2 linked regions of the Danio rerio genome follow. The protein of the gene in region 2 interacts with the protein of the main gene of each other region in a pairwise test. Links are inferred from orthologs where the notes say so. Each region holds a gene or a part of one and is shown on either strand. Other genes may lie near its edges.

The links. The genes of interacting proteins can lie anywhere in the genome.
Region 1: the proteins of cep70 (region 2) and abt1 interact in a two-hybrid assay, tested with the Homo sapiens proteins (2 studies listed by BioGRID and IntAct). The two-hybrid records come from large-scale screens. The link is inferred for Danio rerio from reciprocal best matches to the Homo sapiens genes CEP70 and ABT1.

What each region holds. Positions count from the first base shown.
Region 1 is NC_133183.1:10,041,783-10,045,934, forward strand, and holds the start of abt1 (activator of basal transcription 1), read right to left. Parts: upstream 2,801-4,152; 5' UTR 2,655-2,800; intron 2,500-2,654; 5' UTR 2,475-2,499; coding exon 2,114-2,474; intron 1-2,113.
Region 2 is NC_133197.1:12,304,441-12,308,335, reverse strand, and holds part of cep70 (centrosomal protein of 70 kDa), read left to right. Parts: intron 1-1,410; coding exon 1,411-1,499; intron 1,500-3,290; coding exon 3,291-3,368; intron 3,369-3,434; coding exon 3,435-3,537; intron 3,538-3,895.

The DNA of each region.
Region 1 (4,152 bases), on a different chromosome or scaffold from region 2:
CAAGACCGTCACAAATAAATAGTAGAATGGAAAGTTAGTCAAACATAAAAAACATTTAGTTAAAAAAAATTGTTTACTCAAAACTGAAAATTCCGTCGTTGTCATTCACTCAATTTTCAAACCTTTCTTCTATTGGACATAAAAGACATTTTAAAGAAATCTGTAACCATTGACGTCCATAGTATTCATTTTTCCAATAGAAGTCAATGGTTACAATTTTCTTCAAAATATCTTCTTTTGTGTTTGAAGGAATAAAGAAACTCAAAGTTCTGTAACCACTGGATGAGGATTAAATAGCGAGTAAATTTTTAAATATTTTTAGTGAACTATCCATTTAACTTAAGCTCATGTATATGCTTATGTATTGCTATATATGCCGAAATAAATTGTAAATTTCATTTAATGAAATGCTTAAAGGGATAGTTCACCCAAAAATGGAAAAAAATAAATAAATAAATTTACCCAAAGGCAAGTGGTTCTACTGTTGAAGACAAAACAAGATATTCTGAAAAATGCTGGGGGAAAAAAATGACAGACATTTATAGTAGAAACAAAAAATGTTTTTCTTCAGCAAATTTTCCTTTGGGTTCAATATAAGAAAGAAACTTTATAAGATTAGAAAGAGTAAATGATGACATTTTTTGTTTTTTAGGAAACTATCCCTTCAAAACACTTATATTTTTGAAAAAATAACATGTAAATATTTCAGGTTTTATCGCTATATACATACTATACAATTTACAATTTGAAGTTATGCGTTTGAATAAAATGTCTTATTTTCATCTGTAAAGTACTGAAAACATTTCTGTCAATTTTATGTTTGCATAAAGGTGTAATGTTTTTAGAGCTCAATTGTTTTTTTTTAAACAAATGAATACTAATGTTTAAACTAAGATTCTAACGGTATGATAACCTTGGATAAAAAATATCATGGTTTCACGGTACTGTGATTACTGCTTTAAAATATATTATTTAGAAATGTCTGGGTAAAAAACAAAAAACTTTTCCCACCTTTGAGCACACTATATTTTATTTTGAGAAACGTTTAAAATATTTTGGAGCAGTAAACATGTCAGACTGAACAATTTAAATGATTCATTGACTTCTGCTGTCTTCGTAAGTTTCAAAAACACAGATTTCTTTAAAACTTAAAATGGCATCTTTGGATATCTTTTTTGCTGGAAATACTGTTGCCCTAAAAAACAAACAAAAAAAAAAAAAATCTTACACATACCTTAGGAACGGTATAGCAGAAAAGTTTGGTGGTTTTAAAACCTTGACTTTTCCATATCACAGTATACCTTGAAAATGGTTATATATAACATTGTTTTCTATCATATGTAATATGTTAAGGGTTAAAGTATTAAAATACTATTTAATATAAAATAATATAGAATATTATTATAATAACAATGTTGCATTGTGTAATAATTACATTATAAAATAAAATATTATTATTACAACGGATAAAATTTGTCCACCACCCCCAATCATGGAACAATGCAGCTGTCAGATTTATAGAAAAATATTTTATTTTTAGTTGTTAATTCATTATTATAATATGAATAATTTACAATGAATAGATTGCCGTTAGGATAAAAACTAAGAAACGAAGATTATGTGATATTTAAAAAAGTTGCTAAATAATAAAAATTAAGTAAAAGAGGAAAGGGTGCACATTAGGATTGAGGTACAGTTGGTTTTATATTTTGCACATTTGTTCAGTTACAACTTGTGACAAGCTCTCTATATTATTTACACTGTTATTATGAATATTTGATCTGAAATGTAATGTAAAAATGACTTGTAAACAACATTAGCACCATTTATTTCACTATGAACAATGTTGTGCTTTGATAGTGATTGGCTGCTAATATGACCTCACTATTTAGACCTTGCACAGAAAACTTTGCTGAAATTATATTATTAGAGAGAAAGTCCTATTTACTGTATGTGAATCTAAAACCAACTTTCCCTCAACCTTTTTAGGACTGTTGGGCCCCATGAATGGAATTGGTTAATGCCCCCAAATCACTAAATCTGCCCAGTCCAGCAGTCAAATTCACAAACCTTTATAGATGTCCTTTTCAATTATGTGTTTTTGAAGTTTTACCTTCAGGCTGTAAGAAGATCCTCCCGATCTCTCCATACGCACTCAGGAGATTCCGCATGTGTTTCGGTCTCATCCTTGGAGGAATGTGTCCCAAATACACGATACCTGGAACACATTTCTTGCCCTTTGGCTTGTCAGACTCGTCTTCTTCATCATCATCATCATCATCTTCAATCTCCATGTGAAAAGCTTCACCATCATTAATGTCTTCCTCAGAGTTCATCTCCTGCTCATCTTCTTCAGCACTGTCTGCTTTCTCCTCTTCATCTTTCTCTGGTTTACAGTCATTTAACTCGTCTTCACTGAACACAGGTTGTGTTTCTAGGTCTGTTTTCACTTCATTCGTCTCCAGGAGAGACATTATTGGATGTAGCAACGTTTAGAGACTGAAATTAGGAATGAAGGATGTTAAAAACCCATTAAAATCTCACATTACCGAGGGTCTCATCTATAAAATAACGTAAATAAGTGGTAATATCTGTGCGCGTACTCTTGAATTCAATACCTTTTTAAAAACACTTGTATTAAAAGTGATTCTTACATTGAAAATGTTATCGGGGTGTTTCCTTTCACAAAGCTTTCTTCGTCCATAAAGCAATCAATCCTTTCCAAGACGCTTTTATAGGAGAATTGTTGCGATAAATCGACTCTTTCAACACATGTGGCTGTGGTACTGGAAGCGGCTGTGACGTCGAAATCAAGCGTCAAAACTTTCTTAAAGAGACAGAACTGAGAAGGTTCTCGTCAAATCCGTTGTATTAAATTTCGTTAATATCGAATGATATATTCGTTTTACTAATCTGCCAAGTTGACTATATATTTAAACACGCTTAAATAGAATATGTATAAATTTATTACTGGAATGGACGATTATTTAAAACATTTTAACTGTAACCTTTGTTTTGAACAGCAGAGGACGACAAAACACAAGGAACAACTTAAGCATCATGATCTGGATTAAATAAAAAGGTACCACATTCATTCATTCATTCATTCATTCATTCATTCATTCATTCATTCATTCATTCATTCATTCATTCAATTATTCATTCATTCATTCATTCATTCAATTTCTTTTCGACTTAGTCCCTTTATTCATCAGGGGTCGCCACAGTGGAATGAAACACCAACTTATCCAGCATATGTTTTACACAGCGGATGCCCTTCCAGCTGCAACCCAACACTGGCTGGCAAGGTACCACATTAAATACTTTATAATTCTGTTTTAGTATAGCTAGAAGCTTCAACTTCCAACCCTTTGATAATGCTACCAACTAGCCAGCAGCTTTTGACTTAAAGATGATTAATTAAAGTTTAAGTTCAAAAATACAATAATTTCTAAAGGAGAATTATCTACAAAGAGGATAATTTCCCACAGAAGTAAACGAACAAAAAAACAAACATTCATTCATTTTCTTTTCGGCTTAGTCCCTTTATTCATCAGATGTCGCCTCAGCGGAATGAACCCCCAACTTATCCAGCATATGTTTTAAGCAGCAGATGCCCTTCTAGTTGCAACCCATCATTGGGAAACATCCATACATACGCATTTACACACTACGGACAATTTAGCTTACACCAATTCACCTATACCACATGTCTTTGGACTGTGGGGGAAACCAGAGCACCCAGAGGAAACCCACACCAACGCAGGGAGAGCATGCAAACTCCACACAGAAATGCCAACTGACCCAGCCGAGACTCAAACTAGCGACCTTCTTGCTGTGAGGCGAGTATGCTACCCATTGTGCCACCGTGACACCCAACATACAAACAAACATTCATTCATTTTCTTGTCGGCTTAGTCCCTTTATTAATCCAGGCTCGCCACAGCAGAATGAACCGCCAACTTATCCAGCAAGTTTTTACGGAGCAGATGCCCTTCCAGCCGCAACCCATCTCTGGGAAACATTCACACACACACAGTCATACACTTCGGACAATTACAATTACTACAATTTAGCCTACCCAATTCACCTGTACCGCATGTCTTTGGACTGTGGGGGAAACCGGAGCACCTGGAGGAAACCCACGTGAAC
Region 2 (3,895 bases):
GCCTAAATTTCTAAAGCTCTTTCTGTTGAGAAGGTAAAGACAATAACCAATTATAGACGTGTAAGACCTTCGCCTGTCAGCGCTCAAAAAGCAGGCGGGATAATATTTACATTAGTTTATTTGCTGTAAATGGCGAGGCAGTGGCGCAGTAGGTAGTGCTGTCGCCTCACAGCAAGAAGGTCGCTGGTTCGAGCCTCGGCTGGGTCAGTTGGCGTTTCTGTGTGGAGTTTGCATGTTCTCCCTGCCTTCATGTGGGTTTCCTCCGGGTGCTCCGGTTTCCCCCACAGTCCAAAGACATGTGGTACAGGTGAATTGGGTAAGCTAAATTGTCCGTTGTGTATGAGTGTGTGTGTGAATGTGTGTGTGGATGTTTCCCAGAAATGAGTTGCGGCTGGAAGGGCATCCGCTGCATAAAAACTTGCTGGATAAGTTGGCGGTTCATTCCGCTGTGGCGACCCTGGATTAATAAAGGGACTAAGCTGACAAGAAAATGAATGAATGAATGAATTTGCTGTAAATGCTCATCCTGTCTTTTGTGCACGTGTTTTGTTTGATACATTCAGAAAGAATGTTTTCTTTGAGCAGGTCAAATTAAGGGCACAGTTCATATATTTAAGAACTAAATTGTATTACAAATAATCCTTTTACTGTCGCACCAATATAATTTTTTTTGACTGCATTTCTTAACTCCTAATGTCGCTAGTTAACACAGGCAATGCATTTTTTCCCCAACACTTTCCATAATTTCTAAAATATCAGCCTCTACCAAATAGTTGAGATGTTGGTTTATGCTAAAAGTACCAGAATTAATAACTTTATACATCTCTGGTTTTTACTTTGGATGTCAATTGGGTGCTTTTATCCAGACATTCTTCTGAATATCCAGCTTTGTGTTCAACAGAAAAAAATTTTTCCTAAAAGTTTCAAACAACTTGAGTATATTTTATTTTTGTTTGAACTGTCCCTTTAAGTCTCTGCAGAGATGGCAACAAGCTGTTTAAACAAGTAATAATAATACAAACAATAATATTTAAAGCTGCAAGCAGCATTGAGGGGCCCAAGCACTTTTATCACTGCAACCTTGGTTAACACAGCGCAACACAGGCTAGAGCTGAAGATCTTTGCCCAAACTCAATGACTTTAGGGAATAATGTAGTTCATTTTACACAGGCTGGGCTTCGACTTAGGTCTAGACTTGCGCTTGGCTTGTGTGGTAAATGAGTGATCACATAAAGCATTTGAACAAACCAGTTCTAGATTTTAGAGGTAATTTAAGATTTAATTTAAGATTGGAGATTTTATTGTCGCTGTAAGAGCAATTCTTATAGTGGTGATTAATCTTTTTTTTATGGGTATATTGCAAAATATAATGAAGATCCCTAATGTAAATTAGATTTTGTTCATCTGCAGTCATACCAGGAGCAACTAAAGGAATCCAAAGCTCAGCGGGAAGAGCTCAGGACTGAAATCCAGCGCTTGAAGGAAGATCTGGAATCCAGGTTGGTTGCAGATTTTTTAAGACATTACCCAGGATTCCCACTGGTCATAGAATTTCTGGAATATCGTGACATCTTAGAAGGTTTTTCCAGACATTGAAAGTCAAGGAGTTTTTTTTTGTTGTTGTATTATTTCATGGAATATCAGAGATTTTTGTTTGTCATATAAATTTTATTCATTTATTAATTTTCTTTTCGGCTTAGTCCCTTTGTTAATCTGGGGTCACCACAGAGGAATGAACCACCAACTTATCCAGCATATGTTTTACGCAGCTGATGCCCTTCCAGCTGCAACCTATCACTGGGAAACACCCAAATGCTCTCATTGTCATTATGGACAGTTTTGTTTATTCAGCACATGTCTTTGGACTGTGGTGTAAACCGGAGCACTCGGAGGAAACCCACGTAAACGCGGGAAGAACATGCAAACTCCACACAGAAATGCCAACTGACCCAGCCGAGGCTCGAACCAGCGACCTTCTTGCTGTGAGACAATTTTGCTACCCACTGCGCCACCATTATGCCATTTTAAATTTTACTTACCATAACCAAAAAAAAATAATTCTACATTGTGTATTATTATCGTTGTTTCATGTGTTTGGCCTGTTGTCATGGTTAGGCAATTTTTCACTGTCATCTTAATTCTTTATACTTGGATTTTTGGTAAAAGTTTCTGATTATTGCAGCCTAAAATGGCCGATTCTTAAAATATGTTGCAATATTTGTACATTTTTATCATTATTGTTGTTTTTGCGGTTATAATATACACATCTTAGTTGTTATTTTTTAATATTACTTTTTAACCTCAATAGCCATTGAACTCTATATAAAGAGAACACAGAAACAAAGAAAGTGTTTACTTCTTAATCGTAAAGCTTACTACATCATATTTGATGCATGACTGACTCTAAATTGTCATTCATTAATTTTCCTTCAGCTCAGTCTCTTATTTATCAGGGGTCATTACAGCAGAATGAACCACCAACTATTTCGACGTATGTTTTACGCAGCAGATGCACTTCCAGCTGCAACCCAGTACTTGGAAACACCCATACACTCTCTTATTCACACAGGCACTCATACACTACGGCCAATTTAGTTCATCCAATTCACTTATTGCACATCTTTGGACTGTGGAGGAAACCCACACGAATACTGGGAAAACATGTAAACTCCACACAGAAATGCCAACTGGTCCAACCGGGACTCGAATCAGCAACCTTCTTGCTGTGAGGTGACAGTGCTAACCACCGAACCACCGTGCAGCCTCTCTAAATGATTAAAATAAACTAAACTGTCAATTTCTTAAACAGTAATGTTAAAAATGTTCACATGTTTACTGATCGATACAACAAAATTGACTGGCTGAATTCAATGTTGTGTTTTTTTTTTATGATGTGTCTAAAGCAGGTCACACATCTGTATATGACACCAGTATGAGCACTTTCTATACATGAGTATAGTGTTATTTATTATTAAATGATATGGAAGGAATTTGAACACATGTTGAACATTTGTCACAGCTTGCCAAGATCTGCAGAAAGTTGGATGCAATCTTTTGCTCCATTTGCCTTATTTATTTATTTAATTTTTTTGCATTAAATTCAGCGACCGCAGAATTCTGTCAGCACTGCTCAACACAACATCTCCCTATTTGGAAATTTTGCTTTTTAGTTAGTAAAAGTTAGAAAAAAGTCAAGGACATTTACATTTGTCTTACAGTGGGAACCCTGTTTATCATTGTTTTATACTTTAGTCATTTTGTTGACTTTTTTGATGTTACATTTGTTTTAGACCCACGATTAAAGAGCTGAAGACCTGCAAACAGCAGCTGAGACGCTTGGATCGAATCATTCAGCAGAGTAACCTCAGGTAAGATCTGCAGTGAATAGCTCTGTTTTTCTGATGGATCGGGCTAATGAATGTCTTGTTGAACAGGTCAGCTCAAGAATTGAAACCGCAGGACTCTACAGAGAAACCGGACACCGATAACGCCAGTATCCAGAGCCTGGACATTTCGACATGCAGGAGACTTCTCACAGTATGTTAAGATCAACAATATGGATCAGAGAAACTAAAATGATAAAACTAGTCCTGTTGCGATTCATTTGCAGTTTTTTTTCCATCTAAGTGTGGTTGCTTAGCACAAGGGGTGACTTAAACCGAAATACTTAAGTGTTTTTTAAGCATTTTTTCACTTTCACTTTTTATATTCGCAATGGCTTTGAATGGGGGTGAGACAGACTGCTTGTCTAAATTGCATTTGAATGCTGTCTTTCTACTAATCACTGTGCAGAGTTTTACTGAATATATTCAGTAAATATATTGATATAATATATAATATAATTAAATATTGATAATAATTTACAAAAGAGTCGATCACAATCATTTGTAACATT